2 linked regions of the Drosophila melanogaster genome follow. The protein of the gene in region 2 interacts with the protein of the main gene of each other region in a pairwise test. Each region holds a gene or a part of one and is shown on either strand. Other genes may lie near its edges.

Region 1 (3,757 bases), 800 kb from region 2:
TTTCTTCCACGTGTTTCGTCCTTTTCGACAAACAGCATTGTGGATCATTTTGTTTGAACACCCGACAATTCGACCAATTTCAGCGTAGGTTTTACATTCAGAGATCATGTTTTTAATCAAATTTCTTTTTTCGACGGTACAATGCTTTTCGCGACCCATAACTAGAGAATTTTTGGTCTTCGTTTGGAACAAATTCAATTAAAACCTTTAATACAACTCCTTTTTTCAAAATTTGTCGAAAAAAATCCCAAATCACTCCTATTAATTTTATTCAACAAATACGTGGTCAGTGCTATTTTTGTTACCGTCTCATTTCGCGCGCTTTTGCAGCAAGTGCCCAAAAACAAAAAGAACCGTTACATTGAGAGAGTAAAAATTTCTTGCTCAGAGAGCCAACATATGGAACTTATTATTCATGAAATCTGACTTAAAAAAAAATAAACATTTTATAATTTTTTTTTAGCAAATCAACTTTCCATCTGCAGTAGTGCTATTATTTTAACCGCAGCTGTATGTACATATGCATACATATTCATATATTTAGTATCGTATATTATGTATAATTATAAATCTATGTGCTTCCTCTTCTATTTTATACATATACATTCTTACCTATTAATTATATACTTTGGAAGTCGGAACGAAAACGATATAACCATTGGAATAATCAAAACAAAACATAACAAAATATGTTCCATTTCTTGTTTATAATTTTAAAGTGCCGTTATTCACTTTAAAACACTTTTTGATAACATATGTTTTTGGTTCTTATTTGATAAGCATCCACTGTATCAATTATTTAAAAATATTACAGAGAAAATTATAATTTTGTTGTATTTGATCATAAATTGTTCTTATTCTTTTTATAAAAAAAAATGAAACATGCATTCATCTCCAACGACTAACTAGCTTTAATATTCTACGTATGTATTTATATTTACACTTTCGGTGCGCTATTTTATTTAGCATTTTATGTTTGTAGTCATGTGTTGCATACCTCTTAGTTTCGTCAATTCTTTTCAATTGATTTTTGTACACATGTCATTTGTTTATAATAGTAGTAATACTTTAAACAAGTATATTATAACGTGTTTAAGAATTTGCATATATGTGCTGACTTTTTGAAGGTGCCCTATACATATGTAAACCTTTAATAAGTAAAAGTAAAAGCTACATGCAAAAATCTCAGCACAGCACTTTAGTATTCATTTATTTGAGATCTATTTGTCTGAACTTTAAAACATTCCCTTCATATGATTTAGGCAACAACAATACAATAAAGATCCGTTATATTTCGTTTCATTTTCTTTTTCTATGCTTTGGTAAAGCTTTTGTGAGGTTGCGGCAGCTCTAGACTCGACCAACTTGCTCTGAGATCGTGATCAAGTTGGCTGCTGCAATTTCTTGCGCTCTCTGAGCCATGTCATGATTCACTGAGCCATTCCTTTCCCTGGCTCATTCGTAAGCTCGTTTTGCAGTAACTTTTCTACTTAAACATTTTATATAGTCGTACGTATGTAGCTACCGCTTCAGTTTGGTGCTTAAACGCGTTGCTCGTACTTCATTAAGCCGTAATCAATTCAGGTGGTGTTGCTATTGCTTAGTACACATACTTTAAAAATATATAGTCTTATGTTGTGAACATCCACCCAAAGTATTGTTAAATAGCTTAAAGGAATTAATAAAAATACAAGAAGAATAGTGAAAAATAAAATTATACGCCATTCATACAACTATGAAAGCCATGGATCTTAACGGATTTTACCAAACTTTTATTTCGTTCCTGATATGGGGTGCATTTTCCAATTTTCCTGAAGTATTTGCAGTACGTGTTGCCAACTCACAGCAAAATCAACCTAAGAAAGGTAAGGAAATCCCATCTTGGTAATTTTTTTCACCTAAGAAGTCTTGAAATATCATTTTGTGATTTGTCGACAGTACATATTCCTTTCATTAAAATGATTATTTAAGTGCAATACGTATATACTCGTATACATCTAAACATGACTATATTTCCAAGGGGTGTTCCAAAGATTTGGGGGATCTTTTGGGTATCTTTACTGTAAATTAATTGGAATGTTTTGCAGGACAAAACGTTGTTTTGCCACACTTGCTTTCCGTTATCGTTTTCATAAGAATATATATATTAGAATTATAGGTTGATTATTTGGCCAACCATATATTATATGGATCAAAACATTTTAAAACTTAAATACCGTCTTTACCTATTCAACCCATACGAAGTAGAATAGTAAAATTATACACAATTAAATACATATGTATGTGCAAATAAAGTGAAAGGGAATAAATATTCAAACTAAAGAAAAATTGAATGGTTTAGGAGAAAGAGCAGTGCAAGTCTACAGATTTAGGGAACTGGCCATATTGGACCCAATGTAGATAGATAAACGTACTTTCTAAAATTTTCCCATACGACGGGCTGGAATGGAAAATTGCCTACACTTTAGGTAAAATTTTCGAAACAAACAAACTACAATATTAATCGCTCTTTTCTATATTTCTTATACCACAAAATTTTGCTTGTATCTGACATTATTTTTGTTATTTATTAAAACTTTTTTTATTTAAATTGCCTTTTTCATCAATATATATTAAAGTTAACAAATTTATAAAGAAATCAAAATATTTAGCCTTCATAAGCTTACACTGGTTTAGCCTACCACTTACTTTGCGCAATAATGTTATACTTTTTTAATTTTACTGATAATGGTATTTCTTCAACTTTTTAATTGCTGAATCGCTGACCTTGTCAGATGTTAGCATGCTACTCCCTACAAATTACGAAAGTGCGAACACTTCAACAAGCTTCAAACTTTTAAATCGTTGAAACCCCGATAATAAGAAAACTCTGTAAGATTAAAGTAAAACAACAGGATTTATTTACTTCGGTCTTAAATTGGAAAGCATTAAAAAAACATATTAAGATCTTTGCTAATAGTTTCTAACTTACTACATATGTACATATGCATGTAACTAAAAGAATTTAACAACCAACATAAATAAAGATATATTAGATAAATACTAGTGATTTCTTTTGTCAGACCATTTAGTAAAAGTTATTTGTAAATTTTTTAGCTGAGAAAGAAAAGTAAGAATTTTTAGACTTTAAGAATAGTGTATAACTATTTTGAGTGAGTCTTAAAAATTTTTTTTTTGCAATTTTCATGGAAAATAATATCAGCAGATATGTATGTATGTTCGGATAATAATATTCGCAGATTTATGTACGTTTGTCATGAAAGTTGACTCCTGTTTTCAATTCGGAGGTCGTCATTTCCATCATTTTTTGGTATGATCTCTTAAAAACTATTCCATAGTTTTTTGTAACCGATTGTAATTTTTATTAATTCACAAAAATAATCTATGCTTCATTGCTTTTCGATTTAGAATACACACCAGATAAAAAAAGAGATATCCGAAACGCACTTGAAAAAAGTTTTTTCGCTTTCAATCGAAATTTTGTTTTGAATTTTAATCTACACATCTTTTAGAAGCTGTGTTAGCGATTTATGTCATTAATCAAACACACGTTTTAAGTGTTGAAATCCAATTTTAGCAATAATATGTCAAAAATGAAACTCAGGAAGGTGATCGAATTTTTGACCCTTTTTCAAAAATACATGTACATAACTTCCTAAAATGAAAAGCCAGTTCAATTTATTGTATATGTATTGTATTGTATATGATTGAAATGAGGTGATCACAATGATTTTGTGCATTACACTTGGAGTTAGGC
Region 2 (3,757 bases):
ATCCTCCTCGCAGCGTCCCACCTCCAGATTTTCCGGTAAAAGGAGGCGAGTAAATCGTGCCCGAGACCCCTCTCAAAAGAACCTCAGCTAGCTGGCGGGCCAGCGTGAGGCGCAACGATTGAGTAGCCCTCGTTTCGATGGCGTTTAGCATGATTCGATACCGTTCAACGGCCTCTTGAAGCTTTTCCGTCTTAATAAGCACTATGGGTGCCCGTTGCAGGGCGGTCTCTAGGATGGCGCCCATCCTGCGGTTCATTTCCAGTCCACTTGGACCACTCGCCGGTATTGTACTGCTGATTGCAAAACTGCTGCTCGACGGCTGCACAGTAGAGGCGTTTACATTCAACGTAGAACCAGCTGTCGAGTTGTTGGACGAGCCACTGCTTCCACTAACGAGATCGTATTCCTGCAGATAGAGCAGCCCCAGATCAGATGCGCGCTCAAAACAGCTAATCTGGAGTAAGAAATTATTAAATCAGTTACGTTTTAAAACTGAAATCGAGGACTTTACCATTTCCGTGTCCTTTTCGGCCTTCTTAAACTTAGATGACGGCTTCGTAGTCTGCTGCTCCAGACACAATCCCTTGATGGCATACGATTCCGCAAGGATCTTCAGGCTGCGACTTTTATATATATGTAAGCAGAAGTGATAAGTTTTGCAAATTTGCTATTAATTAAGAGTTGATGTGTACATTCATCTTAATTTGCAAGTCCCCACGTAGTAGATGAGAACATTTTGATTAGAAAACCTTTTCCCAACTTACAGGGTCAGCTCCTTCTCGGCAAGCGTGTTGAGTTCTGCCTTGACGAAATTGTCTAGACTCTGCTCATACTCGCCGCAGGCAAAGCACAGCTTGGCCAGCAGCAAATAGGCGTCCAGGGCGATGCCCGCCTTCTGGCCACTCTCACCCAAAGCCAAGTGAAGGAAACGCCGGGCCTCCGCCAATCCAGACTTGGCGCGACCAAAATTTGAGTCTGACGCGAGAGCGTTTTCCTCCAGGTAACTCTCCAGACGAGCTTCCCCCACCAGAAAGTTGGCCAGGCACTCTGTTCCACGAAAGAAGGCAGTCATTCCAGGAGTACCGTCATCAGCGGAAATCTTCTTACCATTGTGCGGGGACCCGGTCTTCAGTTCATCCGTTAGCTCGATGACCCGGTGCCACTTGCCCTCGCTGCGACAGCTCTCAATCAGGGCCTCCACTTTGGTTGTGGTGTTACGCATGTTCTTGTTGGCCATATGTCCACTTCACGGATAATGTTGTCACTCTTTGCTTGCTGTGTGTGCCAGTGCGTGCCTGTGCTCGCTATAAAGCGGGTTCCTAAGAGCCTAAAGCGGATTCCTTCAAGACTAATCAAATTGTTTTGCAAACATTGGAGTTATCTGTTTTCTTCGCTCTTCTTCTTTCTCACATATGGCAGCATCTGTTATCGACAGCAACTATTATCGGTAGTCCCGCTAACAGCGTGCTGTAAAGCGATTTGTGTACCAGTGCTGTTAAGACATCTGTGGTCCGTCCCCTGTTAGCTGCTAACATGCTAACTCTCGGTCAGCTGTTCCATCTTTTTTTTTCCACAAGCGTGTGCAATCCATCAGAAGCTGTTCATATTGTTAATTGAATCGATAAGACCCAGTGTGGTAGCTCTTTCTTAAAAATATGAAACCTCTGCTCGCCAAATAGAACATTATCACATTATCCCTCATATTAGCAAGATGTCTTCATTTTATGTTGTTTTCTTACAACAGTTATGCATATGCATATGTACATACTATTATAAACTTCATTGTTTTTCGATTACTAATTTTTTCATTTTTAAAATTGGCAACACTGGTGGGCTCTGTTAACCGAGAATATATATAAAAATATGTTAGTTGTAAGTGTTTTCTTGCAGGAGACTGACGCACTTATTAGAGCTCCGCGAACGGAATCATATTTTACGGTTTTTTTTTTTTTTTATCAAGAGTGTGGCGAATTTAACGGCAACAACGAAACGAAAAGTGAAAACAAAGTTCAAGTCGCCACTGAGCAATCGTGGGGCTTTCTGGGCGGTAAGTGTTTTGTCCTTAAGATTCATTTTTGTTTTGTCTAAAGGCGCAGCACGTGTGGATTTGTGTGCACACTCAGCTGTTCCTAGGGTTTCTGTTTTTCGCGAGCACACACAAGTTAGCAATCAGTTGGAAAGCTATGAAGAAATGGAAGTAGTCCAGGCAGAGTATTTGGACAAGAGTAGTTTCTTAATTGTGTGTGTGTGCATAAACAAACGTTAAGTGCATTTCAACCTTCTAATAGGATATGGACCAGAAGAGTGGTCCCCGTATACCCTCTCTTATCGAGTTGACTTCCACTTTTGCTTTCAATTTTAGGAGCCATTTAAGCAATCAAATTTGTTTTTCCTGAGTGACCCCTCATGCCAACCGTTCTCGCAGTCATCGATAACTTTTATCGCGTGCCCCTCAGAAGTCAAAGTTAATTGCCAGTCTTTTATTTTTTTGCCCGGCCTTTTTGAGTTTTTGTTGCTTTTCGAATGTGCAATATTTCCATTTGCATTTCCATATACAAAATCTTAGGTAAAACATATATACAAATCAACACAAAACATCCATGTCAGATTCCAGGCTTTTGGCTCCTCTCATTCTTCAAATTTCTTGCCAATCTTTTAGGCTTCGGAGAGCATATTATTCACCCCAACCGAAGGAATTCGTCAAAAGCGGTGGTGGGGGTGGGCAGTTGGTTCCAGGGATAATAATGGTGGGGCGAACGGGTCGGATATGTGGGTTAGCAGTTCGATGCACAGTGGCTCTTTTACCCGAACTGCCAAAAAACAAATCAAACTGTCTTATGGAGCTGCTATAAGTATTAAATTAAAAATAGATTTTAATAGAAAAAGTAAAAATAGGAGTCCACTTCGAACGCTCCCCTGGTGCGCTTTGTCACAAAGTTAACACTTTCCTACAAAACACTATAAAGTGTAATTACGAACTAAATATTTTTTTCATTTTTTCTATCAAGACACTCATTTATTTGAGTATCATGGAAACCGTAGTCAAATTTAAACAAGCCAGAAGATGTTTAAATATATATACATAAATGTTTATATAGATTTGTTGAAAAGTAACAGATACAAGGAAGATTCGGCCACGAAGCTATTTTTTCCCAAATAAAATTCAAAATTAAAATTATTTTCTCATTTTCATGTCACTCCGAATATTAGCTAAAAGTGACATTAAAGGTATTACACGCATGTGGATTATGGTTACAGTGTCTTGTTCTATGAGTTTCCCGTTTATGGAAAGGAAAGTAAGCGCAAAACTGAAAAGTTGAAAAAAGGCGGCTTAACAATTTTAAAGTAGTGGGTGAATGGTTCCCGTTTGCATTCTTAACTTGATACACTTATAAAAACTTTCACTACAGTTTATAGAAAATGTATAAAATTTTAAAAGGAACTACCTTTTTAAAAGTAATTTTTTTCTTATCCTCTGAAAGAAATCAGGTTGCTACTTCCAAAATAGTTAATTACTATTATCTATAGCCATTATGAAGGAACTTATCTAGTAACAAGTTTATTGGTTTTAAGTATTTTGAATTTTCCTTATTTAGGCTATATCATTTTCTCTCAGTTTTTAGGGAGCTATATAAAATGTGCGTAGGACAAGTTAGAATATAAGATGGGTGAAATAGCCAAAAGACCGTTTGTTTCATTGTTCCTGCTGCATTGCCGCTGCAGTTTTTGTCCCGGCTGTTGTTGGTTTAGGTCCCGC

What was found.
Region 1: the proteins of bin3 (region 2) and stw interact in a two-hybrid assay, tested with the Drosophila melanogaster proteins (one large-scale study listed by BioGRID).

What each region holds. Positions count from the first base shown.
Region 1 is NT_033778.4:5,412,217-5,415,973, forward strand, and holds the start of stw (straw), read left to right. Parts: upstream 1-1,527; 5' UTR 1,528-1,735; coding exon 1,736-1,865; intron 1,866-3,757.
Region 2 is NT_033778.4:6,212,705-6,216,461, forward strand, and holds the start of bin3 (bicoid-interacting protein 3), read left to right. Parts: upstream 1-1,863; 5' UTR 1,864-2,047; intron 2,048-3,492; exon of another isoform or gene 3,493-3,757. Other genes in the region: Ttc7 (tetratricopeptide repeat domain 7), read right to left, coding at 1-454, 512-623, 765-1,047, 1,108-1,237.